2 linked regions of the Stegostoma tigrinum genome follow. The protein of the gene in region 1 purifies or fractionates together with the protein of each later gene. This does not show direct contact. Links are inferred from orthologs where the notes say so. Each region holds a gene or a part of one and is shown on either strand. Other genes may lie near its edges.

What was found.
Region 2: the proteins of trifunctional enzyme subunit alpha, mitochondrial-like (region 1) and glypican-1-like purify together in Homo sapiens (co-immunoprecipitation; 3 studies listed by BioGRID and IntAct, with this or other methods). This does not show direct contact. The link is inferred for Stegostoma tigrinum from reciprocal best matches to the Homo sapiens genes HADHA and GPC1.

What each region holds. Positions count from the first base shown.
Region 1 is NC_081357.1:132,091,602-132,106,732, forward strand, and holds the start of trifunctional enzyme subunit alpha, mitochondrial-like, read right to left. Parts: upstream 6,406-15,131; 5' UTR 6,338-6,405; coding exon 6,271-6,337; intron 1-6,270. Other genes in the region: hadhb (trifunctional enzyme subunit beta, mitochondrial), read left to right, coding at 8,645-8,711, 11,468-11,509, 11,631-11,727. UniProt on the Homo sapiens protein: Mitochondrial trifunctional enzyme catalyzes the last three of the four reactions of the mitochondrial beta-oxidation pathway.
Region 2 is NC_081367.1:8,392,501-8,408,063, reverse strand, and holds the start of glypican-1-like, read left to right. Parts: upstream 1-8,071; 5' UTR 8,072-8,694; coding exon 8,695-8,845; intron 8,846-15,563. UniProt on the Homo sapiens protein: Cell surface proteoglycan that bears heparan sulfate. Binds, via the heparan sulfate side chains, alpha-4 (V) collagen and participates in Schwann cell myelination.

The sequences.
Region 1 (15,131 bases):
CCTTCAGGAGTTTAGAGGGTGTTGGATACTTTAGAGAGAAACGAGAAGGGTTAAAAGGGTGCAGGAGGTGGCATTGGCAGATAAGATAAAGGAGAATCCAAAGAGATGCTACAAATACATGAAGGGCAAAAGAGTAACTAGGAAGGCAATGGGTTCTCTGAAAGATCAACAAGCTTATTGTACAGAGCCACAAGAGATGGGTGAGATCCTAAATGAATATTTCTTGTCAGTTTTTACCAACGAGAAAGGTATGGAGGATCAGATACTGAGATGTGTGTAATTTATGAGGCAGGATCTCCATGTGATAAAATAGCAGATATGGACAACGAGGCAAGGTTAGTGAGAATTCCAGTCCAACAGAGGACAACATCACACAAGTTCTGAATCAGAGGACTCACAGGAGAGATCAGGTGCAGCAGAATCGAGAAAAACGTTGGTTGATATGGACAACATGTTTGTCTACTGGGAAGGCTGCTATAAAGCTAGCAGACAACGCCAAGGGTCATGCAGGAGGTCCAGTATCAACTTGGCAGAAGGCAGATCTTGGAGTCTATCCTTTCCAATGACCAGAGTCACAAGTCAGTCTGTAAGAACGTGAAGGGTCTAGGCCCGAAACGTCAGCTTTCGTGCTTCCTGAGATGCTGCTGGGCCTGCTGTGTTCATCCAGCCTCACATTTTATTATCTTGGATTCTCCAGCATCTGCAGCTCCCATTATCACTACTTAAGTGTTACCTTACTTTTCCTTACGATTTCTAATTTCTTTTTCATATTAGTTGCTTTCAATTCCTTTGTTTGCCTGCAGTTTATTTGTTTATTGCTCAATCCTGTGTTCTTGGTTCAAATATGGCTAGTACAATTTAACTTCCTTACCGTATGCTCTGCAAAAGTGAGAAAAAGGTCTTGGATTTTTATGGAATTATTCTATTTGCTGACAGACTCATCTTTTCAAGATCTGATGAGAATTTAGGCAACCAACCATAAGCTGGCACAATGCATTTGTGATTTTGATATATTAGGAAAAATAGCAGTCAACCCCTTAATTTGTGAACTGTTGAAATAGTTTTTCCCTCCAATTTTCACTCCTTTTATTTCTTCATTTATTTCTCACTTCTGCATTGGACTCCGTTCTCATTCCTCTGTCATCCCAGTAATACGCAGCACACGTGATTGGCTCATGGGCTATCATTTGCAGCACAATACAAAGGTTAATATTTTGACATGCAATCAGCCAAGATGACGTTGATTTTTAATAGAAATATAATTAAACATTACAATATTAAAAAGAACTTGATTCTAGCCACTAGCAATTTATTACGTGCAAATTCATAAGGGCAGTGGAATTAATTTTCATGGGGAGTCATGGCACATCTTCAGGTGTGATGATTTCTACAGAGACAAGGAGGTATTTCTTTATTCAGGGCTTAGTTCGAATTTGGAACTCACTATCACAGAGCATCGATGAGGCCAATAACTTGGATACTGCAAATGACATAAGCATATAAAAGAAAAAAGGAATAGTAAAATATATTCAGAGATAATGGAAACTGCAGATGCTGGAGAATCCAAGATAGCAAAGTGTGGGGCTGGATGAACACAGCAGGCCAAGCAGCATCTCAGGAGCACAAAAGCTGATGTTTCGGGCCTCGGCCCTTCATCAGAGAAAAAATGTACACGATATTCTAAAAGTGGACTCACCAATGACCTGTACTGCTGCAAAATGACATTTTGATGAAGGGTCTAGGCCCAAAACATCAGCTTTTGTGCTCCCAAGATGTGGCTTGGCCTGCTGTGTTCATCCAGCTCCACACCTTGTTATCTTATAATAGTAAAATATATTGCTTGACTGAGACATGGTAAATAGAATGAGAGGGGATAAGTGCAGCATAAACATCAGAGTCAATACAGTGTGGAGGGAGGAAACACAGTAAGTCACTCTGCTCCAGAGGAGCAGGAAAGTTGATGTTTTGGTTCAGGACCCATCATCAGCACTGAGGAGGGGGAAGGGAGCCGGGAAAAAGAGAGAGAGGAGGGGTGGGGCTGGGGTAAGATAGTCAGGATGTTGACAGATGGATGTGGGTAGTGGGGATGGTCAGTGAGGAGGGTGGGGCTGACAAGTGGAAAAGAAGATGGACAGGTTGTGTCATGTCAAGGATGCAGGGATGAGAGGGAGGGTGAATATGGGATGCGGCCAGAGGAGTGGGGAAATTTTGAAACTGGTGAATTCTATGTTCAGGCCATGGGGCTGCAAGCTCCCGAAGCAGAATATGAGGTGTTGCTCTTCCAGTTTGCATGTGGGAAGGGAAGTTAAAATGGTTGGCAACCGGAAGGTGTTACTGATTATAGCATACAGAGCGCAGATGCTCCATGAATTGGTCCCAGAATCTGTGCTTGGTCTCAATGATGTAGAGGAGGCCACACAGGGAGCAATGGTACAGTAGACCAGGTTGGAGGACGTACAGGTGAACTCAGGTCCGATTTGGAAAATATGTCTTGGGCATTGGATGGAGGCAAGTTGGGAGGTTTAGGGGCGGGTGCAGCACCTCCTATGGTTCCAGGAAAAGATGCCAGGTGTGGTGCGGTTGATGAGAAGTGTGGAGTGCACAAGGGGATCACCAAGTGAGTGGTCTCTACGAAAGGCAGACATGGGTGGGGAGGGAAATATCTCTGACGTTGATCAGAGCATTTGATTCAGTAAACGGTGTGGATTGTTCTCCAAAGATTGATGTCTGAGTAACTTCTTCACATTTCTGCATCTGCTGCATAACGTTGACTTCAACTGACTTGAGTTAGGTTCTGAAACAAATGCCATCAAAATCCAAAATGCCAAGAAGGCTATGTGGCTGCTTTTGCACGATGTGCCATCTACCAGACTGCAGTGAGTAAGTTCTAAGATCAAATGTCCTCTGGTGTGAGCAAATGCCACTGGAGACGAAAACTTACCTCTTTTGCCACTGTGCCAAAATTAAACTGCGCAGCACAGACATACAGGACCAACAATATACAGCTGAATATAGTGTTGCTGCTCACTCTGCACCAGACTCGCAAACCACTCATCTTGTCAATTCTGTATAGCAGAGACTCAGTCAAACTTGAATCTGTTTCTCTCTCAATAGGTGCTGTCAGATGGCTCGTTTCTCTCGTACTTCTGTTTTTCATTCAGATGGCCAACATCTGCCTTTTTATCCTAAGGACTCAGGCTTAGTCAATCAAACATTGCACTTTCTAAAAATGAAAGAATCTCAATATTTTGTTCAATCACTGAGCAGGTTCAAGACAGAAATCTATAGGTTTCTGGAGAATAATGACATACAGGATTATGCTAGAAAACAGCATTAAAAGAGATGCTCAGCCACACTCTAGAATGGCGAGGTATGTTCAAAGGGCCAAACAGCCTACTTCCTTTGCGATCATCCCTCATCAAAGGGGAGACTGATGTAGAGACCCAACACTGGATCAGCTGCACCAGTTCAGCCTTCTACAAACTATGGCAGACAGCTGTTGGCAACAAAGATCTCCCCAAGTCAGAGGTTCAATGCACAGTGCGGTTGTCACAATACTTGCGTACTTCAGTGCATCCTAGATCATGCATCAACAACACATAAGCGACCAAAGTAAAACGCTGGAGAAACTGAGCAGAAAGAGTTAAATTGGACTAGAAATGGTAACTTCTCTCTCCAAAGATGCTACTAGACCTAGAGTTCCCCCAGTGCTTGGTTTTTAATCTCAAATCTTGAGCATTTTCAGTAATTTCCACCTACATGAGCAATACATAATATCAAAAGAGAAATTCTATCAGGAATGCCTCCACTATATGCTGTATTCACTTGAGAAATCAATCAACAAATATCAGTGTCCTACTTGAAACAGTCTGCTAAAACTCATTGAAAAATTGGAGCAGACAGCATGTTTGGATGACTGAAAAGTGACTTCATCAGCAGGTCCTGCTTTCTCAGTTCTTAGTTGGATAGTGTTGCAGCCAGGACAAAAGGAATGCCACAATTTACTCAAATTTTTCCTCAAATTTGGCAACACTCCAATTAATGAATGAGAGGAGCTTGCCACTAATCATTCAAAATGGCAAAAACTTGTCCATCAAGCTGCATCATGGCAGAACAGCTGTACTGAAGAGGGGAAACAGTGGAAGAATTCCTGCATTTCCAATGCCAATACTTCATGGAGCATCCTGTCCTATATGCTCAAAGATCTTCAGGTTGAGTTTGGCCTGTACAGTCCACTAAGACAAAACAGAAACTCAGGGCCACAGAAGAAATCATCCTGAAATCCAGGGTCAGCCAAGTGTAGAGGGGATGTGATAATGGGAACTGCAGATGTTGGAGAATTCAAGATAACAAAGTATGGAGCCAGATGAACACAGCAGGCCAAGCAGCATCTCAGGAGCACAAAAGCTGACGTTTTGGGCCTCGACCCTTCACCAGAGAGGGGGATGGGGAGAGGGAACTGGAATAAATAGGGAGAGATGGGGAGGCAGACCGAAGATGGATAGAAAAGAAGATCGGTAGAGAGGGGATAGGTCAGTGCAGGCAAGACGGACAGGTCAAGGAAGTGGGATGAGGTGGTAGGTAGGAAGGAAATGGAGGTGCGGCTTGAGGTGGGAGGAAGAGATGGGTGAGAGGAAGAACAGGTCAAGGAAGTGGAGACAGGCTGGCCTGGTTTTGGATTGCAGTGGGGGGAGGGAAAGAACTGGGCTGGTTTTGGGATGCAGTGGGGGAAGGGGAGATTTTGAAGCTTGTGAAGTCCACATTGGTACCATACGGCTGCAGGGTTAGCAAGCAGAATATGAGTTGCTGTTCCTGCAACCTTCGGGTGGCATCATTGTGACACTGCAGGAGGCCCATGATGGACATGTCATCTGAAGAATGGGAGGGGGAGTTAAAATGGTTTGCAACTGGGAAGTGCAGTTGTTTGTTGCAAACCGAGCAGAGGTTTTCTGCAAAGCGGTCCCCAAGCCTCCGCTTGGTTTCCCCAATCTAGAGGTAGCCACACTGGGTACAATGGATACAATATACCACATTGACAGATGTGCAGGTGAACATCAGCTTGATATGGAAGGTCATCTTGGGGCCTGGGATAGGGGTGAGGGAGGGGGTATGGGGGCAAATCTAGCACTTCCTGCGGTTGCAGGGGAAGGTGCCGGGTGTGGTGGGGTGGGAGGGGAGTGTGGAGCGGACAAGGGAGTCGTGGAGAGAGTGATCTCTCCGGAAGGCAGAGAAGGGTGGGGATGGAAAAATAGCTTGGATGGTGGGGACGTAGAGGGGATGGCTGTTACTCTTTCCAAACATGGGTATAATATACAAATGAACCAGGCCAGTCTTTCATTTCATATCTAATTTATAGAGAATGCATATCAAAAATTTGTTTTTTGTTCTTGACTAAATATGTTGCTGGAAAAGCTCAGCACGTTTGGCAGCATCTGCAGAAAAGAAAACAGTTAACGTTTCGGGTCTGGTGACACTTCCTCAGAAGAGGTTATTTATTCATGTTGTGCCTCATTTGAGGAGCAGTGTTTGAATCCAGAACTTTCTGACTCGAATGTTGGTATTGACTAAAGCAACCTAACAATTAAACTAGTAATCAGGTGACACTAAAACGTGTACATTTCATCTAGTGTGTAAATTAGTTCAGCAAAGACAGGGTTCCTAAGCAAATATTCATCCCCTACTTCGAGCCATCTGTCTGCTTAGCACCAAGCACACCTTCACCAAATCGAACACCAGAGATTAAACCAAAACAAGACTCATTCCTTGGAGACAGGTATCATTAATAAATTCCAAAGGCCTGAGGATCGAAATTTTAACTGATCTATCTCGACAGATGTTGCCGTATCCATTAAGTCTTTCCAGCAGCTTGTTTTTAGTACGCGAGAAATATTTGTTTTTAAAACTGATAACAATCAGGTTCCTTCTGATTGAAAATACCGAGCGCTTTTTTAAAAAAATTTGAGGGTTTACCGTACGGATGTAATTTAGCCATATAGATTATTAAATGGTATGTGCGTGGAAGCGCATTTCTAATCCAGGCTCATAGCAAACAGTGCAATCCTACTGTTCACTACCCAGACGACATTAAATGAATTAAATGACACAAAGTAGACACCACCAGCAATGAACGGCCTATTTCTAGAAATTACCAACTTTGGTCACGAACTCACTCTGATTAGGCCGAATATTTGTCAGGACAGAATAAAGTTACTTAGCTACCACCACTGAAACTTTTAAATTCACATGAAGAAATATTTCACAACGAAGTACCTGAATAACAAAACTTTCTAAACAACGAGAACAGCTTCATTTTGCCGTACGCCCGAGTCGCCGCCATTTCTATTTCCAGCTCCAGCTCGGGTCAGAGAGCCCCGCCAAACCACGCCCCCGGACCCGCCTATCACTCCGCCGCCGTCCTGAGACCCGCCCATTGGGTAAACAGCCACTCTTTGAAGAAGGTTCCCGACCCAAAACGCCAAGCTTTCCTACTCTGACATTGCTGGGCCTGTTGTGTTAATCCAGCCCCAGACTGTGTTATCCCCGCCCGTCTCTAACTCGCTCCCGCCCCCGGACCTGCCTATCTTCGTCAGGCCCCGTCCTCAGACCCGCCCATCTCCTCCATTTCCCCACTTCCGCTATTGGGTGAACCGCCCCTCTCCCTGAGCAAAACAACCTGCCGCCGGCGACAAAACCCAACTCGTTCTATCGCCTACAACTCCAGAAACTGATTTCGTGCATTGATCGGCTTTACGGTTACAGGTAGTGTTTATTCAGATGTGGGTGAAATGTTGCCATCAACATTTTTAGGTTCTACTGGGCTTCAGCTTCCTCATCTGGAGTATGGAGAGAAAGAGAGAGATGGGGCCCAGAATCCGGGGTGAGAGAGAGAGAGTGGGAGGGAGGGCGACAGAGTCCGGGCAGGGGAGACAGAGGGCCCGGAGGGCGTGGGTGGGGGAGAGGGACAGGGAGAAGGCTAAGGCCCAGAGTGCAGTCGGGGGGCGGGGGCGGGCGCGAGAGAGGGGAGGCCCAGAGTGCGGGAGTTGGTTGTGGAAATCCCTTCTCTAAAACAGTGCGATGAGTTGTTGATGCAGAAGCTGTATGTAGACCGAGAGCGGGGCCGGCTGAGTTCGGTGAGGGAGGGAAAGGTTTTCCATCCCCGACGTGCAGGGCCGGGCCGTGAAGCGACGCTGCACATTTCAGTCTGTTAAACTTTCCTTGTTGCGTCAGATTACTGGCCTTGCCGCTGCGACTGTTGAACTGGGCCTGAAAGGTGCCTATGAGCAGCGGTATCTACACTGATAGTTTCATTGGGAGTCTTATAACAGAACTACAGCTCTGTTAATCAATTGTATTGCGCTCAAATTTTTCGCCCAGGACTTTGAAAATCGATTATATGTAGTAACTTCCCCCCCACCCCTTTTTGATCAGTAGGGCAGTGGTAAGTACGTCCTAATGCGTTACATTATTGATCTCACCGAAGAATATCCGAATTACGAGCCTACGCAGCTTTGACCCTTTGCATGGGCTCCGACCGTTTCTTATTTAGTTATATTTGTCAGTCATCGGTTGATTTTTTTTGTCATGTTTTCTATTTTAACGTTCTTTGCAAATGGTAAACCTTCTGCCTGAATGTCATTGTACAGGCTATTCCAATGTAACAAGAGTAACTGAGTACTTTAAAGTCTGATCGTTATGTGTCAGGCTGTCAATTTTTCCAGCGACTGGAAATTTCGAGTTGTTTTCCACTTTGTTTTCATTTAATGTAAATGTTGTGCTCCGTAGCTTCTTTTATGTAATAGGATATTGCATGACCAATGTTAAATGTTTTCACTCATGAGGTGACCGTTACAAAACTGACTTTGCAACTGCTAAGGTGCTTGATAATCTTAGACAATTTTGCCACATATTTTAAAAAATGTCAAGTGCTGGTTTACTTTCCCAATACATTTTTAATTATTTAGGTGGTTAACTAACTTTATAATGTGTTAATAATGTGTTTTATGTAATGCATATTCATCATGTAACTCTTCCTAACAGTTTGGTTATGTGTTGATAATGCATCATGGTTGCAGCATGATTAAAAACATGTGGTCAATCTCAAAAGTGTGAGGTTAATTGATGTTCCAACTGGGAATCCCCAATTTGCACAACACTGGGTGGGGGTAGTCTGTATTGGCATTCCTGTGAAGATGAAATGTCTCGGGATTTTAAAGCTGCGACATTGAAATGTTTACCAAGCAATGTAGGAATGGCAATCCTTGTCTCCTTTAATGTCATGTTATGTGCCCAGGCTGAAAAGAAGTAGTGCTGGAAGTCACCGGATCAGGTAACATCTGTGGCGAGAGAGCAAACCTGTGTTTCGAATCTAACAGTTCTGATGAACAGTCATCGAGACTTGAAAATTAGCTTGCTGTCTCACCATGGATACTGACTGCCTTACTGTGGTTTCCATTATTTCTTTAGTCTTCAGTCCAAATTCCAATATTTACAATAACTTGATCCGATCCTATGTCATGTATCCAGGAATTGACTTGGGCATTTTGCTCAAATTGTTCCTGGTGGGGAAAAATAGACTTCTTTAGATTATTGAGTACTTTGCCCTGATCATACTTGCTTTCTTTCATTAGAAATTAACCTTTTAATCATGGCTTCCATGTTGGGTCGTACGTTCAGAAATATCCCAATCAGTGTGGCGTGCGCAGCAAAGTTAAGTAAGTATGTGAACAATACTATTTTGCAATATATTCATTTCCAAAACAACAGTTCTTAATGAGATTTAACTGCCAGTTTCTGCTGATATCTTTTCTTGGGCACCAAGATCCTACCATCACTGATTTTGTTAACCAGATGACTACATCTCTTGCTAAAATTCCATGCTAAGGAGTTTAGAACGGGGAGAATAGTAGGGGTAGTGCCATGCTTGTCTGTGCTCCTATTTTAGGTATGAAAGGAAAATGTGAACGATAATCTAATTTTCCATCCAAAATGCGGAGGCTTGATTAAAAAGCCTAAAAGTAATTCCAAAAATTGACATTTTGGGGAAAAATATATTCAAAAGTGAATAAACCATTTTGGATCAGGATCACTGCAAGATTCTCCCATTTTATATAAACACTTTACAAATGAGCCTATTTCTATCTTAATAAATAAGAGTATTACAGCACAGAAAGAGGCCCTTGAGCCCATCTTGTCCAATTGGATCCTCAAGCATCTATCTACTCGAATTCTGTTTTGTTTTACTTGCCAGGAGCTGGGTTGAGGCCTTGTATTATACTTCGTTCAGGAATCCTTATTGTTGCACTATCTGATTTAGTCAACGATGGCACCGCCTGGAGCATTAATATATGAAACCACTGAGCAAGAGAATGTAGGCTCACCTTAACTCACTCAAGAGTTCCCAATCGCTATGCTGAAAGGGAGGCTTTAGATGCTTTGCTGGTGGAGAGCATAGAGAGGGTCAAGTGATCCCCTTTTTGCAGACATGATTAAAATGTGAGAATAGGTTCCCCCACCCCCCACTACCACTGCTTCCGTAAAGTCAAACTGTTGTGCTATGTGGGGAAAAAAAGGAGATATATTACATTATGTAATGTGTATTCTGTATCAACTATTTCGCGTCTCGCGATAGAGTTTTTATGTAATTTTGTGACTTGTTATGTCAGTTATTATCAGTTGAGGAAAACCATTGCAAAGATGTGGCAATCTTATTAATGCTTCTTTTGATATTAATGTTTATTAGTCTGAAAAATCAAAAATGATCAGAATCCTAAGTTCTGAGGATGTTAAGTGTGTAATATAAAGGTTACCTGTTTTTTTCAGTGATTTACAACTGCAACAATGTTTACTACAATGAGATTTAAATACTTATATTTAGAAATTTCCTCTGAATAAATTGTGAAAAGCGGTGGCATGGTGGCTCAGTGGTTAGCACTGCTGTCTGACAGTGCCAGGGACCCAGGTTTGGTTCCAGCCTCAGGTGACTGTGTGGAGTTTACACATTGTTCCAGTGTCTGCATGGGTTTCTTCCTGGTGCTCAAGTTTCCTCCCACAGTCAAAAACGTGCAGGCTAGGTGGATTGGCCATGCTGAATTGCCCATAGTGTCCAGGGATGTGCAGATGAGTTGGGTTACAGGAGATGGGTCTGGGTGGGATGCTCCAAGGGTCAGTGTGGACTTGTTGGGTCGAATGGCCTGTGGGATTCTATAAAAACTGAAGCCATCGTCTTCATTCCCCACTCCAAATTCCATTTCCTCTCTCTGAATTGTGTTCTTTTCTTGGTAAAAGTGAGACCAAATGAAACTGTTCATAATCTTGCTGTTTCATTTTACCTAAAAATAAGCACCAACCACATAGCCACATCCACACGAAGGGCCAACTAGTAGCACTTATGTAACCATGCCTGAGTTTGCTCTTATCCCTGCTCATCTGCTGAAAGCCTCATTCATGGTTTCTTTACTGTAATTTTGACTCTGACAATGCATATTTGGGTGGTCTCCTGTAATCTACCATCCAAAAGCTTGAGGGTATCTAAATTGTTGTCCTCAAACTTGACAAGTACTGACCACCCTTCACCTGTATACTCACTGACCTACGCTGCCTCTTGCTTAAGCTGCACCTTAATTTTAAGATTCCCACCACGATATGGCAGTGTTCCATCTAAGCTGTATGGTTGTGCAACAATCCATGAAGAGCTATACACTTAATTATCGCTGCTGTGCTCATCTTTGTAGCAAAATGGAGTTTACTGCCAGCCGATTGTATGATCAAAATGCAGGCAAACTCCCCATACCAAGAAATTACAGATGTAGTACAAACCTGTCATGATTAATTGGGTCACATCAGTTAACAAAATCCATTGGTTCACTTCCTGGATCCTGAAGTTGTGTTAACACTTGTCTTTTCTGTGGCCCACTTGTTGGTCATTCCGCATGCCGCTTCCCTTGATTACCTTTCTCCCTCCTGGCTTCCTCCCTCTCAGTGCCCCTATCCTGAGACCATGTGGGATGGAGAGAAGGGAAAAAGACAGGTGAGCGAATTGGGATTGGAAGCAGCATGTCAGCAAATTTTGTGGGAAAGTTGAGGTGAGACAGAGTGACCAGGAGTCTTAGGAAGAAGGGGCTAGTTCGATGTCAGAACGCTGAGAAATAACATGAAAGTGTTAATAAGAGGATTTTAGGGCCAATTAATAGTTAAATTAACCAATCTGGTTATTTTGCTGCAAAATGTATTGTGAGATTATTCAAGTAAAATTGATACAAAAGCATTTGATCTATTAAAAACAAGGGTATTTCTTGGTAGTTGGTGGAAAATTTCAGATTCCCAGCCCTAATCAAATAATAAATGCCAAGATTCTTGAGGCTATTTTGTTAGACTTTTTTAAATCGTGCAGTTGAATATAAGGTTCTGATGTTTGCGAAGAGACAATTAAGATGTGTGGTTATTGATGCTGTTGTTCTTTTGAAACTAGATGCACGTTTGTTGAGTTCAGTATCTCATCCTCTGCCTCAAGGTACAGTGCTTTCAGAACAATTTTCCTCATAACTGGCATACATTTACTTGTTAACTTGATATTTCACTCTTAAAAGTTTTAGTAACATAAGTTTATGTTGGCTTAAAATTCTGTCCAACAGTGCAGTCAACCACTAAGAAAACTCTAGCAAAACCAGGGATAAGAAATATTGTCCTCGTTGAAGGCGTTCGAACACCATTCTTAATGTCCGGTACTACGTAAGTAATGAAGACTTATGTGATTTAACTCCACACATTATGCTTGCGGCCAAATTACCTTTCAGAATGGAGGTACAAGGTGAGCAGACCTCCATTCAAAGATTTACAGCCCCATTCCTACATGCTGCATTTTTTTTTGTCAGCATTCAACAACGTTACTGATAGTGAGCTTGTGTGCAACACTTCCAACCTAGTCAACTCCATTGGAGGGATGGGCAATTCAGATCGCCATGCAATTTTGATGGAGCTGGGCCAGCTCCTGCAGAATGTATGGTTCATGGCTCACTAGAGGAATCAAGAACTAGGGGAGCTCTTCAGTCTGGTGCTCGGTAACTTTAAAAGATTTTCAGATGGTATGTCGTATAAAGAAGGGTCCCAACCTGAAATGTCAACTTTCTTGCTCTGCTGCTGCCTGGCCTGCTATGTTCCTCCAGCTCCACACTGTGTTATCTCTGACTCCAGCATCCACAGTTCTTACTATCTTTGGATGGTGTGTGGCTTTTTAAAAAATATTTGAGTACTTATTTAATGCTTTTGTGTAGGTTTAAGCATGTTTTCAATACAGTAATTGATGAAAGGACTCTACCTCAATTACAGTTGCCTTCTGACCAGTCCACCTTGACATTTGCTCAACTTGTCTTATCTTTGGCCTGTCGCTGTTTATGTACATAGAACATTACAGCACAGTACAGGCCCTAAAGGGGCCCTAAACATCCAGTTTCTCCAGGATGGAGGTGTGAAACAAAACCAGAAACTGCTGGAAAATCTCAGCAGGTCTGGCAGCATCAATGGAGAGAAATCAGTCAATATTTCAGGTCCAGTGACCCTTCTTCTCTGATAGTAATGAAGTAAAGGATGTTCTTTATTACAGAAGATAGGGTGGGAGGAGGGGGTGAGAGTAAACAGTATGCAGAGATAGAACCCAAAGAGAAAGAAACAGACAAAGAGAGTGGTTAAAGTTGCTAATGGAGACTATTAGTGTTTGACAATGGGTAATTTGCAGTAGCAGCCCATGTGATGACATGGCCTACTTTATGAGGGCAGAGGAAAGCATGGGGAACGGTGCTCAAGACCTTAAACTGTTGAACTCGATATTAATTCCAGAAGGCTGCAGAGTTCGCAAGCACAAAATGAGCCGCTATTCTTCTAACTTGTGCTGAGCTTCACTGGAGCACTGCAGCAATCCTGAGACAGCTGTTGGCCAAGGAACATGGTAGTGTGTTGAGGTGGCAAGCAGGTGTTTTTTTTGTGAACAGAATGTAGTTGGTCTGCAAAGCAGTCACCCAGCCTACCCTTTGTTTCCCCAATGTTTCCCACAAGACCACATTGTGATCAGTGAATGCAGTAGACGAGATTGAGTGAAGTGCAGGTAAAACACCACTTCACTTAGAAGATGTGTTTGAGGTTTTCAGTCGTTAGAAGTGAGGAAGTAAACGGGCAGGTGTTAGACCTTCTGCAGCTGCAGGGGAATGTGAAGTGAGGCTTTGGGAACGTGCTGCAACGGAAGAGGAGTGGCCCAGTGGGAATGGTCCCTGCAGGTGGCTGATAATGGAGGGAAGAGGAATATGTGTTTGATGGTGGCATCCTGCTGGAGGTGATGGAAAGGGCAGCTAATGATCCTCTGGATGTGGACGTTGGTGGGATTGTAGGTGAGGACTAGGAGACCCTGTCACTGTTGTGGGAGGAAAGAGAGGGGCTGAAGGCTGAAGCTGGGAAAATGAGGTGGACCCAGCTGAGGAGCTAGTCAATTATACTGTTGCGAAATCCTCGGTTGAGGAAGAAAGCCCCCGCACCTCGAATACATTACAGTGAAATGCCAACCCAAATATCTGTCACACGAGTTCACCTTCACCATCCTGACAGCAATTTACATACCGCCCCATGTGGATAAGAAGAGTGTTTTGGATGAAATTTACACAGCTACAAATGCTATGAAGGTGAAATTCACCAAGATAGTATTCATCTTGACTGCTAACTTCAACCAATCCAACCTTGGGTGTTGCCAAAATACCACCAACACATCTGTCTCACGAGAAGATAAAAAGTCCAGGGCCTCTGCTGCGCATCCATCAAAGAAGCCCATCACTCCATTTCCTATCAACACTTGGGAAAATCAGATCACGATGCTGTGTTCCCCTCCCAGCTTACAAGCAGTAGCTGAAACAGGAGGACCCTTCTCATAAACTCGTACACTGCTCATCTGAGGCAGTGGAATGGCTTCTTCAGGAGTGCTTGGAATCCGAGGACTGCTCCATGTTCAAGACCTCAGCACCATACACCACCATTGCCATGGACTTTGTTAGTAAGTGCATGGAGAACTGCGTGCCAAATGAGCCAATCTGGGTGTTCTCAAGCTGGAAATCTCGGATGAACCAGAAAATCCACTGCCGACTGAAGACCAGGCATGTAGCGTTCAAGTCGAACAGCCCAAACCTGTACAGAAAATGCAGATATGACCTCCTCAAAGCCATCGGAGGTGCCAAAAGGCATTACTGGACCGAGTTAGATGCCCAGCTCACCCATATGGACACCTGCCTGTGGCAAGGCTTACACAACATAGTGGGTTACAAAACAAAGCACAGCAAGATTTGTGAACAAAAACACACTTCCTTGGATGTAGTCAGTGCATTCTGTGCTCAGTTTGAGCAGAATGCCAGTGGTGCAGCATCACCTCCAACAGCTGAGAATGCATTTGTTCCATTCATCATTGCTGCAGACATCAGATCAGTCTTCCTGAGAGTCAGTCCAAGGAAGGCGACAGGCCAGGACAGAGTCCCCAGCTGTTCATTTAGTTTCTGTGTGGACTAGCTGGCAGAAGTATTCGCTGACATCTTGAACCTCCCCTTTCTATAAGCCAAAGTCCGTACCTTCTTCAAGAAGACCACCGTCATTCTAGTACCAAGGAAAGAACATGCAACGTGTCTTAATGACTACCGCCCAGGGGCTCTGAACTGCATAATCATGAACTGCTTTGAGAGGCTGACCATGGCCCACAACAACTCTAGCCTCCTAGCCTGTCGCAATCTCCTGCAATTTACCTCCAATGAAACAGGTCTGCAGCAGATTATAGTTCCCTAGCCCTACACTCATCCTTGGAACATCTGGCTAGCCAGGTGACCTGCGTTAGACTCCTAGTCATCGACTACAGCTTTACCTTCAACACCATAATCCACTCAAGAAAGAACTCAAAACTTCAAGACCTAGATTTCACTTCTGCAGTCTGATCCTCAGCTTTCTGATCCATAGACCGCAATCAGTGCAGATCGACAACTGCACCATCTCCATGATAAGCCTCAATACTGGAGCCACCCAAGGCTGCTTTCTCAGTCCCCTACTGTACTCTCCCGTACATGCACAACTGTGTAGCAAAAGTTTGAATGAATATCACCTACAAGTTTGCTGAT
Region 2 (15,563 bases), on another chromosome or scaffold:
CCCTCTGGGCTCAATATCAAGTTCAATAATTTTAGGGCCTAAACACTCCCATGTGCCAGACCCCTACCCCACACACCAGGCCTTGTTACCACATAGCCTGCCATTACACATTACCTGTTATTAGTCACTAATAGTCCCCACATTAACAACTATTCACCCTACCAGCCAGAACATTATTGACTCTCTGTCTGTCCAACTAGTCTTCTCTCCCTTTAGGCTCTATCCTATCATTTACCTCCTCCCTCTTATTTCTGAATATAAACTGATGTTTTCCCAGCCACCATCAGTTCTGAGGAAGGGTCACCGGAGCTGAAACGTTAACTTTGTTCCTGATTTACAGCATCCCCAGTCCTTTTGGTGTTTATTTACATCATTATTGATGGCTGCTGATGTTGAGACACAGGTAGAACAACTTACAAACATACAAAAATGCAACAAGAGTAATCATCGAATAATACAGCATGGAAACAAGCCCTTTTGTACAACTCATCCATGCTAACCAGACATCCCAATCTGATCTAGTCCCATTTGCCAGCATTTGGCCCAAATCCCTCTGAACCCTTCCTGTTCATATACCCATCCAGATGTCTTTTAATTGTACCCACCTCCACTATTTCCCCTGGCAGCTTATTCATTTCATACCCTCTGCATGAAAAAGTTGCCCTTTGGGTCCTTTTTAAACCTTTCCCCTCTCAACGTAAACCCATATCCTCAGTTTTTGACTGCCCTTTCCTGGGAAAAAGACCTTGGCTATTCAGCCTATACAAGTATCCCAGAAGCCTTGTTAATCACCTTATCTACCTGCCCTGCTGACTTCAGGGATCTGTGGTTATGCGCTGTAAGGTCCTGTTATTCATCAGAACCTTCATTTAGACTCTTGAGCTTTGTCCACCATTCAATAAGATGATGGCAGATCTTATTTTGTAACCTCAAATCCACTTCCCTTCCTATCCTTGATAACTCTTCAACTCCTTACTTAATAAGAATCTCCCCAATCTTAAAAATATTCAAAGATTGTTCCTCCAGTAACTTTTTTAAGATCAGAGTTCCAAAGACACATAGCCCTCTGGGAGAAAATGGTTCACCTCATCTCTGTTTAAATGGATGGCCCTTGCTATTTAAACCGTGACCCCCAGTTCTAGATTTTCTCATAAAATGAGACATCTAACCTATTAAGCCCCTTCAGGATCTTCTACGCTTTAATCAAGTCAGTTCTTGCTTTTCTCAGGTGAAGCTGATACATAAAGTCACCATAATCCCACTCTCCCATTCGACAAAGATGACCAACGGTGAGTTTAATGATCACAACATCTCAGCAAGGTCAAAGCTGAGGAGGTAGAGCCTTCATGGCGTCCTTAGCTTGTGTGGGAATGGAATTTCAGCTTTTGCTTCCACTCTAGCTATAGCTGATAGCCTAGACTGTCCAACTTTCAACCTGCCCACTCCAGTTGGTGGTTAGTCTGCTAAGTCTTCTCTGAACTGCAAATAATGCATTTACATTTTCCTTTAAATAAGGTGATCAATGCAATACACAGGAGTCCAGATTGCTTTAACTAGTGCCCTTTATAACATCCCTATTTTTGTAAAAAATTCACCTTGTACTATGTGATAGCATTCTAGTAGCTTTCCTAATTACTTGCTATACCTGTATTCTAATCTTGCAGGATGCATGCACAAGGATACCCAGATCTTTCTGCACCTCAGAGCTCTGCAATCTCTCACCATTCAAGCAATGTGCTTCTTTATTATTGTTCCTTCCAACACGAATAATTTCACAGCTTCCTACACTATACTCCATTTGTCCAATCATTGCCAACTCACCAAATGTACCTACATCTTTTTGTAGCTTCCTTATGCCATCTTCATATTTGCTTTGCAACCTGTCAGCAGCAAATTTAGTATCTATAGCTTACATCTGTTCATTGAAGGTATAAATTATAAACAGTTGAGGTCTCAGCACTGATCCTTTGGCATGCCACTCATTACATCTTGCCAAATTGAAAAGAAAATTTATGCCTACTTTCCGCTTTCCTGTTAGCCAGCCAATCTTCAATCCATTGTCAATGTGCCCGACCCTCTAAATCATGAGCTGTTGTTTCCCACAATAACCTTTGATCTGGCAATTTATCAAGTGGCTTCAGGAACTCTAAGTACACTACATATAACAGTTTCCTTTTATCCACAGTGTTGCTTAGAGTCATAGAGATATATGGCACGGAAACAGACCCTTCAGTCCAACTTGTCCATGCCAACCAGATATCCTAAATTAATCTGGTCCCATTTCCTGTCACTTACCCATCCAAACACCTTTTAAATGTTGTAATTGTACCAGCCTCCACCACTCCTCTGGCAGTTCATTCCATACATGCACCACCCTCTGTGTGAAAAAGCTGGCCCTCAGGTCCCTTTTAAATCTTTCCCCTCTCACCTTAAACCTATGCCCTCTAGTTTTGGACTCCCCCTAACCTGGGAAAAAGGCCTTGGCTATCACCTTATCCATGCCCCTCATGATCATATAAACTTCTGTAGCGTCACCCCTCAGACTCCGAAACCCCAGGGAAAATAGCCCCAGCTTCTTCAGCCTGACCTTGTCGTCCAAACCTCCAACCCCAGTAACATTCTTGTAAATCTTTGCAGAACCCTTTCAAGTTTAACAAGATCCTTCCTATAGCAGGGAGACCAGAAGAAGTCCAACAGATTGGTCAAACATGATTTCCCTTCGGTAAAACTATGCCTGATTACTTGTACTTATGTAAGTGTATGACTATAATCTCTTTAAAATAAATTCTTACACTCCCCCCAATGATACACGTTAAGCTGAACATTCTATAGTTTTCTGCATTCTGTCTCCCCACTTTTACTTGACTGAGCCTTCAGGGTTCTTGGAATGGCCTGTCCTACTGATTTATACACATTTATATCTCTAGGTCAAATTGTTCAGAAGGATTGTTGTTCACTAGCAATGAGGACAGGCTCACCTCTCTCTACAAGTTCAGAAAGATCTCATAAAATCAACCTGAAATGAACCATGAAACCTCTCCCCTTGCAGATGATGTCGGACTTGGTGAACATTTCCAGCATTTTCTAATTTTGTCTTAGATGTCTAACATCTGCAGTTTTTAATATTAACTTGCCCAGTAATTTTACCTCAGTCAAATCACTTTAAACCCATTATCTTAACACTTTGCTTTTTGTGAGAGCTAACTGTGTGTATATATTGGCTGCCACATTGCCCCACATTGCAACAGTGATTGCAGCAACACTGAGAAGAGCTTATTTTTTCTGGATAATATTTTGGGATATTCTGATTGTGGAAGATGTTATGTGAAAGTATGTATTTCTTGAGACATGAAGGTTTGCTACTTGGCTGGGCTATTAAAGGCTGCTGTTGTCTCTCGCAGTATCCTCCAAATGGGAAGCGGTGTTGGATGACAGAAAACTGTCAATGGAGTGGGTTGTAGTGAACAGATAACCAGTCCAATGTGTAACTGAAGAGTTAAAAATGCAATATACTCATGCAACAGGAAAAGAGTTAACTGTACCAAAGGCAGGAGCCCACTCAACAGTTCAGGCACCAGCTGCAGAGATAGGAACCTCAGCCTTCCTGCTCCTCTGATGCTGCTTGGCCTGCTGTGTTCATCCAGCTCTGCACCTTGTTATCTCAGACTCCAGCATTGGCAGTTCCTACAATGGCAGAGATAGGAGCCACTGGCTTTTCGCCAGATTTGAACTAAATTGAACTCCTTCTTCTGGGAGTCTAATACCTTTGCTTTCGATGACATTGTTCTAGTAGCTTTCAGAAGGTGGATTATGCGGGGATTCTGCTGCTTGTCCACGGCACACTAATTTTTGTTTCTGTCAGGAGTCTCTGTGACTTTTCACCATCTTAGTGCAACTTCTGGCCTTTGGTTTGCTGGTGGAATAACCATTGTAATGGTAGAACTGCCCACTCAACGTGACAAAGAAACTAAGAATTAAGTGGGCACACACAGTTGACTTGTAATAACTACATACACCACAAAGCACAACACTGAAGAGCTGCTGACTTACTGTCATCCAATTTTATTTGTTAAAATCAGGATCTACCCCAAGGTCACCTCGTTAAGTGTTTTCTCCCCAGTGAGATCAGCTATCTCAGTAATGGTTGACCATGGTACCTTGGATTTGGGAGCTTATGAAGTTTATGAAGAATGATTGGGCAGACTTGTTCTCTATTCACTGGAATCAGGAAGAATATGAGGTTATCTTATTGAAACATTAGGGCCTAAGATGACATATGAGGCTTCAAGGTTATGGGCTATGTACTGGAAAATGGAATTAGAATAGTTAGATAGTTGTTTGTGACCAGTTCTTTTTTTCGATGGGAAAAGAGCATTCTTCCGTGCTGTAGACCTCTATGATTCTATGATATGGTGGATGCCAAAAGATGTTTCTGCTTTTACAAAGATTTTGAACCTTGCTTGGAAGTCTGGATCCGTCAATTAAGATTAAAATGCAGAGGATTTAGGCAGAAGTAGATCAACGTTTAACTCACAAAGCAGACAAAGGGTATTGAGAATATGCAGGAAAATGGAGCTAAGTGTGAAATCAGATCAGCCATGTTCTTGTTGATTGGTGTACTCTTGTTCCTAATGTATCATTTTCAGTGCCATCAACATAGGCTTCAGTCATAGAGGCATCACTTTTCCCCTTTTACTTTGGGCCACTTACAACTGCAATTCCATCTGGTTTCAGGTCTTCCTCCTCTGCTTCTTTCAGGTAGGCCCAACTCCATCACATTTCCTCTTTCTCTCCACAACAGATGGCCATACTCTTGTAATGACTTTTCAGCTGGCTTCTTTGATGGTCTCACAATCTGATACCCGGATGTGCTGATTCTCGATCTTGTCCTTTCTTGTCACTTAGAGTTGTAGAGGCACACAGCATGGAAATAGACCCTTCAGTCCACTTGTCCATGCTGACCAAGTTTCCCAAACTACACAAGTCCCATTTGTCTGCATTTGGCCTATATCACTCTAAATCTTTCCTATTGGTGTGCCTTTCCAAATATCTTTTAAATGTTGTAACTCCACCTGCACCTTTCACTTCTCGTGGCAGTTCATTCCACATACAAACCACCCTCTGTGTGAAAAAGTTGCCCCTTCACTTTATCTATGCCCCTCACAGTTTTATAAACATCAAAAGGTCACTTCTCAAACTCCTACACTCCAGCGACGCTCCAGTCCAGTGTCAGGCATTTGCTTATAGCTCAAACCCTCCGGCCCCAGTAACATCTTTGTAAATCTTTTCTACACACTCTCCAATTTAATAACCCACTGCTCACATTCATCTCAGTACTTGCATCTCATGAGTGTCCAGTCATGGTTTCTCTCCTGCAGATATTGTCCAAATTTCATCCATGTCCCCATATCCTTTGATCCCTCTATCTTCAGAACCATATCTGACTTCTTTTTGAAAACATTCAATGTTTTGGCCTAACCTGTTTTCTGTGCCAGAGAATTCCAAAGGCCCCCAACTTTCTGGGTGAAGAAATTTCTCCTTGTCTTAATCCTAAATGACCTTAAAATGTGACTCCTGATTCTGGACTCCTCAGTTGTTGCAAACATCCTGTATCTACTCTGTCTAGTCCTGTTGGAATTCAATAGGTTTCTATGAGATTTATGAGTCACTAGGAGTGGTAAGACCTGCTGGAGAATGATGGCTTTTCTGCAGATGGCTTATTTTCAGAAGATTTATCTTCAGATTGACGCTTTTTCTAAATGTGGGCCTGGGAAGAAAACCATCTCTTGAAGTATACATTGATAAAATTGGCTCTCGATGTAACCGTAGCCCTCATACACAGAATTTGTGGGCAAATTATTTTGATGAATCCTAATCTAAACATTCTCCAACCAGATCAGCTATGATCTTAACAAATGATGGAGCAGGCCCTGTCTGCTTCTAATTTGTTCATTTGTATAAAATAGTGAAGGAAATGAAAATGTTAATTTGTCATGTTACATCAAATAAAATTTAAAGAACAGGGCAAATTGAAACCTATATTCAGTAAATTTAAAATGTTATGAGGAAGTACTTCATCATACAATGAGTAATCAATGCTTGATTCAAATTCACTTTCTGATCAAGTAAAAATGTAGATGCATGCACAGTCACATTAAAAATACGTTTGGCAAGCATATGAACAGGAAATGCTTGGATGGGTATGGGTTGAATGCATGCAAGTGGGCTAGTTTAGTTTGGGAGACTTGGTCAGCATGCACGAGTTGAACTGAAGGGCCTGTTTCTGTGCTGAATGACTATGTTACAAGGCTAGTCTCATGACTGTCTTTTAGACTGTTCATTTTCAGTGATATATGTTTTGTATCACTGCACTTCAAACACAGCTAGGAACAAAAGGCATGTTGTGCTTTTCTGACAATAGTGTCTACGTGGGTGGATCAGGATCGATTGTCAGTGATAGCAAACAATTCATGATATGGAAGTGTAAACATTCAGCCTTCTAAATAACCCAACACATACATACATAAACACTACTGGTAAAGGGAAACAAGAAAATTGATTTCTCTGCAGAGATTCACTTTGGGAAAAGAAAACTTTTGTCCAATAGCTGTTAGTTCTTGAAGGTAAAAATGATGAGGTGTGGAAAGTTCAGATGACATTCATTCAGATATTCTGGCATGTTAACAAGAGTCTATTCATCTACAGTCGTCCCTGGGATGTTTGCAAATGTTTCAGGAAATATCAAGACAAACTCCTCAGATGGTTCTCATGAGATCAGGTGAATCTTGAGTTCCAGTACCACAATGGATGCACTTTTTTTTGTTTTTCAGAAACAGGAGAGCTGATCTGGGAAGCTTCTTTCCTTCAGCAAGCTAAAGGACCAATACCGAATCCGAAACATTGAAAATGCAGAAACGAATTCACTGGTGATTAAAATAAACCCAGACAGGTGTCCTCCACCATACAAGTCCAGCAATTTGTTGAAACCAGGAGGTTTCCACGAAATGCCTGACTTTAAAAACATGTTCCAATGCCTAAAGAGAACTTTTAATGAAAAACTCAGTCCAGGTATTCGCAGATGATGAAATTGATCCATTTTTTTCCGCAATACTTAAAGATTCCCATCCTTAAAAACATTAACTGTGAAGCACTATTTGGAGCTCTTTCTGGCAAACATGACGGACAACTTACATCGCAATTTCTGAAAAGTGAGGCAGAGGCGGTAACCCAATGGTTTACAATGCAACTGTTTTACTGTCTAACTGTAATGGTTAATTACTTTCAACCTCTTTAAGGAGTGGAGATTGTAAAATTCTTTCTATTTGAACCGTGTTTTAAAATTCATATCCCTAAAGCAGATCTTTTGTTCAGAATGGCAAACTCAGATCTCCGAAACGTCCTGTTCATTCCTCCCACCTAAAGGCAGGCGTGTCTTTTATACTTGATTGTTTTGCCTTCACAGACAGAGGAGTTGATGATAGGTATTGTTTTGACCTGCAGGAGTGGCAATGTGGAAGCAGTACACACAAAGACCAGACCTTAGTAGTCCTGTTCCAGCTCAGGGGCGATAGGTTAGAGGTTGGGAACCCAATACCACGAAACCCTCCTTTATCAATCCGACTTGAAATCTTTTCCGGGGCCTGGTTATCTCCGTAACACAATTGGCAAAAAGTAAGCAGTAGACTCAGTCAAAAGGCTATTTTAGTGGCTCTCCCACTTCCCCGCACATCACTGTGGGAATAAGGAATTCTTTCTCTTGAAAATTGCAATGCATTTACAGACCAGGTGAACAGTGCGTTTGAATTAGGATCACTTGAGTCCATTCCCCGTTGTAAATTTGAGGAGGTGTGTGGCTGACAGGGTTAAATGAATGGAAGATTCATAAAGGCGGACAGACACTGACACACACAGGGACAGCAGTGCACACTTGCTCACTGGCACTCTGATGGGAGGATAAGAAGACATTCCTGCGGCTCACCGACAATGAAGAGAAAAAAGGGAGGTGATTGACAAAGCCAGGGGCCGTCTTCATTGGTCCCAGACCGCGTCTGTCGTAACATCCTGCTAGAGGTTTTGGGGGTGGAGTTGGAAAACTCAGTAAGGCATCGTCTGCACAGAGAGAGACAGAGGTAGGAGGTGGGCACTCTGTCTCTGTCTGTGCCAGGTCGGACAGATTCTTCACATACACATACACACACACACCTTCTCCAACTCTCGAGACTCTTCATCATACATCCCGAAACTACTACAACCGGTAACAAACTCATTGGGGGAGAGAAGGAAGGGCAGAATTGGAATTAAGAAGAAGACTCCCAGGATTGTGTTCATGTATTTTAGAAGTAGCATTTGTTAATTGTATTCCTTTGTGTGGTCTGTGGGCTGTGTTTTTTTTTAACTGAGTCATTAATGAACCCGTTTGCATCGGCAACTACAGAAGATAAATTGAAATTCGCGTTTCTTTGCTGAAGATTGTAAGTCACAAGCCAGAGAGAGAGAGAGGTGAACAAAAAAAAGCAAGAGTCGGTTGGAATTCCTTTCCTCCTGCAATTGACTTGGGGAAACTTTTGTTTGGATTACGTTGATCCCAGTTTCTTTTGAAAACTCGATTTTGGATTTTTTTGTGTGTCTCCTGTGCAAACAAAAAAAAACACACACACACTCAGTTCTTGATTTGGTTGCACCGTCCTTGCGAAGATGATGTGGATTTCGCTGTGCCTGGCTTTACTGGGACTCCTTCCCTCCCCTGTTGTGGGAGACCAGAGACCCAAGACCTGTTTGGACATGAGAACGCTGTACAACTCCAAAGGGTTCTCGGTGACCGCGGTGCCTTCAGCTGAGATCTCGGGTAAGAGGGGAGAGGGGTTGGGGGAGAGCTGGTAAAGGGCTCTCTCTTGCCTGGGGGATTTGTATATTTTGGAAGCTACAACTAAAAGACCTTCAGAGAGGAAAAAAAGGACACTAAAATATAGAAACTAGGATGGAAATTGCATTGAGATTGTTTCCTAGCTGACGAGACAAGAAATGTATTGTGAGAACACACGTAAGGTCAATGCATGACTTATTTAAGGTTATGATCATGTGTGTTTCAGTCTCCGTGATGTTTAAAACAATGCGGGTTTTTTTTGAAAGGAGGGTATTTGGCGTGCGTTTTTTGGATGAGGGCACTGGGAAATCGCTGAGGGTCGACTGGTGAAAGAAACAGAGGATATTGGAAGCGAGCAGGAGCCAGAGCTCTTTGTTGGGAATGTGTAATAACATTACCCAATCCCCTAGAGAGAGAAAAATCTAAATGGACTGGGTCTGCTCTGTCCAGTGTGGGAACAGAGCGCTTTTAGGGGCGTGAGCTGGACCCTGGGGGCGACATCCGAAGCGTACAGTGAATCCCCAAATCCCACACTTTGAAAAGTCAAACAATGGCCTTATTTTTAGCAGCAAGGAATTCCCCTGTCTTCGCATGTATATGTGCATGTGTGTGAGCATTCTTTGCCAGAGAGCCTTTTGTTTGAGAATGCCTTGCTCCTTTTGCTGGTTTGTTGAATATGCCAGCTGAGAGTTGGCACGGTGTGGCCATCCTCATGCTGCGTGTTGTGTGCGGGGCGATGAACGAGCGAGAGATTTCCCTGCGGCCTCCAGCGGGAGCTGATGGCAGGGCTCTGTCTGTTTTTGCTGGGGGCTGTTCTTGTCAATGCTGCTGCTGTTGGGGCAGACCTACCTCGGTTCCCCCTTGTCCCCCAGCCCCGGGCCTTCTAAGCTGATGAGACTCAAGGACAATAGCAGTGACTGCAGAAAGATAACTGCCGTGTTGTTTGAAGGGCATGTAACTGTTGAGTAGTTTCCTGGCTACTATTTATTGGCACTGGAGGAGGATACACTTCAATATGGATTGCTCGTTTTTGAGGGGAAATGGGAAGATTTGAAGAAAAGCAGCAGGTTGTTTTATTCACCCCAGATTAAATAAAACAGAGGACTGGTGCATTCCCTTCCAACAAATTCTTGCTATTGCTGTGTAGTTCAACAGAGAGCACTTCTCACCCAGTGATTCCCTGGAAAATTTGTTTGTTGGTGTCGCAGTTGCCTATTTTGTCGCCTTGTCCAACGAGATGGGACGTTGGGTATGCCGTTCAGCGACAGGGGCATCGCAGCTCCCCCTGAGTGCAGGCGTTGCTGGACCAGAGCAGCCCTGGCACAACTGAGCTCCCTACCCAGCCCCCGCTTCCGTAATGCAGCGAGCGGCGGTGACCTCCTGTCGTGTTTCCTCCCCCCGATCGGTAAATTGCTGCTGTTACCCCTGCACTGTTTAAGAAAGATCGCCAATGGTTAATGCCCGTCAGTTAACCCTATACTGGCCGCTTCCTGGCTTGCAAGTGCACCCTTGTACACTTTGTACCTACCCACTGAACGGCTGGCAACAGCTTTAGCCTCCGCTGCTTGTAAAAGTTCCTTAGGCATGAGCGACCATCTAGGGAATTGAAGGTCTTCAGAACAATAGTTCATTGGCTATCGGCACTTTGAGAATTCCTGAGAGGGTAAATAGGATTGTATCACTAAGTCTCCCCTGTACTCTTATGCACTTGTTATTCTCTGATTGTCGGTCCCCTATTATACACCTTTTGTTTTCATGATAACCCGTTGTAACAAAGGATCATCTCCCATTCCTAACATTCTGCAGTCTTACTGGTTCACCTTGCACTATATAAATGCAAGGCACTGTTGAATAGGCAGAAATTGGTTTGGTTTTTCCTGGGCTCATTGTGAATTCTTGGGAGTTTATGATAATTCCGTTTTCCTAATCAGACTCCCTGACGATCAAGAGATAGTAGGAACTGGTAATGCTGGAGAATCTGAGATAACAAGGTGTAGAGCTGGATGGACACAACAGGCCAAGCAGCATCAGGGGAGCAGGAAGGCTGACATTTCAGCCCTAGACTCTTCTTCAGAAAAGGGGGAGGGGGAGGGGAGGGGGTTTCTGAAATAAAAAGGGAGAGGGGGGGAGGCGGATTGAAGATGGATAGAGGAGAAGATAGGTGGAGAGGAGACAGATAGGTCAAAGAGGCAGGGATGGAGCCAGGAAAGGTGAGTATTGGTGGGGAGGTAGGGAGCAGATAGGTCAGTCCAGGGAGGATGGACAGATCAAGGGGGCAGGATGAGGTTAGCAGGTAGGAGATGGAGTTGGGGCTTGAGGTGGGAGGAAGGGATAGGTGGGAGGAAGGACAGGTTAGGGAGGTGGGTCGAGCTGGGCTGGTTTTGTGATGTGGTAGGGGGAGGTAAGATTTTGAAACTTGTGAAATCCACATTGATACCATTGGGCTGCAGGGTTCCCAAGCAGAAGATGAGTTGCTGTTCCTGCAACCTTTGAGTAGCATTGTTATGGCACTGCAGGAGGCCCAGGATGGACATGACATCTCAGGAATGGGAGGGGGAGTTGAAATGGTCCATGACTGGGAGATGCTGTTGTTTAGTATGAGCTGAGCGTAGGTGTACTGCAAAGCGGTCTCCAAGCCTCTTTGTAGGTTATGTTGAACAGTCCCTCTTCCGTACCTACACTGGCCCTAAACCCCACCTCTTCCTCCGTTACATTGACTGTATCGGCGCCACCTTGTGCTCCCACAAGGAGCTTGAACAGTTCATCCACTTCACCAACACCTTCCACCCTGACCTTAAGTTCACCTGGACCATCTCTAATACCTCTCTCTCATTCCTGGACCTCTCTATTTCCATCTCAGGGCAACCACCGAGAAACTGATATTCATTTCAAGCCCACTGACTTTCACAGCTACCTAGAATACACCTCCTCCCACCCACCTTCCTGCAAAAAGGCCATCCCCTATTCCCAATTCCTTTGCCTCCGCTGCATCTGCTCCGGAGATGAAGCATTCCACTCCCGGACAAAACAGATGTCCTCGTTTTTCAAGGACCATAACATAACCCCCCACCCAGTGGTGGATGACTCCCTTGACCGTGTCTCACTCATTTCTCACAACTCATCCCTCACACCCCCTGTCCGCAATAACAACCAAAACAGAATCCCCCTTGACCTCACATACCACCCCACCAACCGCTGGATCCAATGCATCATCCTCCGACACTTCTGCCATCTGCAGTCCGACCCCAATATCGAAGACATCTGGAGGGACCACTCTCTCTGTGATTCCTAAGTCCGCTCCACACTCCCTCCAGCCCCACCATACCCGGCACTTTTCCCTGCAATCGCAGGAAGTGCTGCACCTGCCCTTACACCTCTCCCCTCACCCCCATCCCAGGCCCCAAGAAGACTTTCCACATCAAGCAGATGTTCACCGGCACATCTGCTAATGTGGTATACTGCATCCGCTGTACCCTTTGTGGCCTCCTCTACATCGGGGAAACCAAGTGAAGGCTTGGGGACCGCTTTGCAGAACACCTATGCTTGGTTTGCACTAAAACAACTGCACCTCCCAGTCGCGAACTGTTTCAACTCCACCTCCCATTCTGCAGATGACAGGTCCATCCTGGGCCTCCTGCAGCGCCACAATGATGCTACCCGAAGGCTGCAGGAACAGCAACTCATTCCGCTTGGGAACCCTGCAGCCTAATGGTATCAATGTGGACTTCACAAGCTTCAAAATCTTTCCTCCCCCTATCGCATCCCAAAACCAGCCCAGTTTGTCCCCGCATCCATAACCTGTCCTCCCACCTCAAGCCCCACCCGCATCTCCTACCCACTAACCTCATCCCGCCCCCTTGACCTGTCCGTCTTCCCTGGACTGACCTAGCCCCTCCCTACCTCCCCACCTACACTCACCTTTACTGGCTCTAACCCCGCCTCTTTGACTGGTCTGTCTCCTCTCACCCTACCTTCTCCCTTATCCATCTTCTATCCACCTCCCCCCCTCTATTTATTTCAGAGCCCCCTTCCCCTCCCCCATTACTGAAGAAGGGTCTAGCCCCAAAACGTCAGCCTTCCTGCCCCTCTGATGCTGCTTGGCCTGCTGTGTTCATCCAGCTCTACACCTTGTTATCTCTGACGGTCAATGATTGTTTTTGTGCATGATCCTTTACCTGCATCTCCTGCCCCCACTACATTTGCCTTCTGCCCAGCATCTCTTCTCTGGCTGATCTTTTCCTCTGTCAGCTCACATGCCCCTTCCCCACCGTTAACCTTCAAGCCAACCCCTCCCCTCACATTTTGCTCCTTCTGGCCTGGTTGCCCTTGGTATCGGACAGGTGTTCGCTTTCCAATCCACCATCCGCCCCTCCCAACTCCTTTTCCGTGCATGCATGCATAGTTTTCCTTCTTTAGCTCTCCTCTCCTCTCTCCCCTGGTCCTAACCATGACCACCCCACCACATGCCCAAACCTCACTTATCTGTTTCCATGCGTGGGGTAGGGAAGAGGCCTTGTATGGGCAAGAGGGATTGTGTTGGCTTGGTGGGGTAACCTGAGCATGGAGGGATATATTGTGAGGGCAGAGGAAGGAACTGTGGGTTGTGGGCTTTGAGATGCCTCCAGTGTTCCATCTTGCCTGTGTTGGCTGAAGTGAAAGTGGAATCTGGAAATAATGCCTCATATTGGCATGTGTGAGATTATCACGGTATGTCTTGAATTATTGGGGAAATAATTGTGCCATGGCATTGCTGGGTTATATCAAGCTAGAGAAAGTAACTCTTTGCTCTCTGTTAGCTTGACTGCCTTTTAAGGTTGTCACACAGAGATACAGTAAACAGGTGCCATGTTAGCAGCTCCTGTGTGGTTTTGAAATGGTGTATTGAAGGTGTATAACATTGAGCTAATATTAAACCTCTGACATGGCCTTGAGAATCGTGTATCAGAATTGTTGTCAGTCGGACTTTAGTGATCTCTAGGAAAACAACCACTGTTCTGGGCTATGATGTGGAGATGCTGGTGTTGGATTGGGGTGGACAAGGTCAGAAATCACATGATGCCAGTTTTTAGTCCAACAGGTTTATTTTTCTAACACGAACTTTTGGACCATAGCCCCCTTTGTCAGGTGAAGTGAGCTAGGCTGGTAGAAAGATCCCAGGTTGGACTCAGATGATCTTATTTGGCCAATGGTGTTGAAGTTCTACTCACTGACCCATGGCTCTCATATTCCCTTATTCTGATTCCTGACTGTCACTTCCTCCTCTACTCTCACCAGGCGCAGTATAGCCTTCTAATGGGGCGCTAGCACTTCTGTCAGTCAGTCAGCCTGAATGTGTTGGTATGTTCAAGGTTTCTTGAGGGACACACTCAAAACAAGCAGCATAGGGATTGCCAGCCTGAGGTCCATCGTGTTTGCCTCCTTGTAGCTGTAGGATACAATGTAAACAGAATTTCTTATATACCCTACAACAGACTCAGACTTGAGACACGGAATCCCCAGTGATGGAGCGATTCAGAGCCATTGTTCCAAAGTTAGCTGTTCCTTCTCACCATCCCACTCACCACATGTTGTGTCTAAAATATAATGCATCACAAAATGTTACTTTCATGTTTGTCTTCCATTTGTAACAATTGCATCCTGCTGCATCTAGTGCTGTATTTAAAGAAACATGTTTACACTCTGCTGATAGTACTGGGCATATTAAGTCTGTTGGTAGCAATAAACGATAGGAAAAATCACATGTTTGTTAATTTATTTCACTGCTACGGAGCGCACTTCTGGTGTGATGCTCTTAATTCAACACCTCAAATTGCTCCCATCGCCAGTGAGAAAATTGCCTTGCTCGAATCCCAGTGATGTGTGTGGAGTGATTGACTGCTATTCTGTCACATCGGCACGGAACAGGGGAGTTTTCACATTTCCGATCCCCTTCACAGACACACTGAGTGGCTGGGGAAGGGGTACAGATTTTCATCCACATCATCAGTAGCAGAGATCTGGCAAAGAGTAAATTGTGCACAGCCTGCAGAACTGTGGATTTTTAAGCCATGAATTTCATTAGGCTAGCTCTGTGAGAGTTCCTTATTCCCTACCATTGGCAACAAAGCCCTACACTTTGAACTTCCTTCTCTGAACATCTCTCTCCTCCTGGAAGTTCCATTTCTTTGACCACGTTTTAGCTTCCCTGTGCTTATCCTGCCTGGTGTTCCATCATCCTTATTTCCATCTCTGTGTTGTTAGCATCTGGGGGGATCTTTCAAAGCTAAGGTGCCATGTCAATGCAAGTTGTTTCTTCCACAATCCTGCCTTGAAATTTGAACTGACCTTTTGACTAACTCAGGCTCCCGAGTCCGCTCCTTTCTTCGTTTGCACAAAATAATTATGTGAGCTTCAGCACGCTAATGGCGTCGGTTCGAGGGAATTTAAGAATAAAGATGTTGCCTTTCGTTTTGGCTGAGGAGAAAAGATGGTGTTGCTTTTAATTCAGTCGTGTGTGAATGTTGCTGGTAAGGCCAGCATTTGTTGTCCATCCCTAATTGCCCTCAAGCAGGTCATGGGTGAGATTGTTACTGCCCACTGGATTGTTTTGCTCGAAAAAGGGGAGCCAAAAGGACTTGCATTTATGTAGCAGAGATAGTAGGAACTGGAGATGCTGGAGAATCTGAGACAACAAGGTGCAGAGCTGGATGAACACTATAGG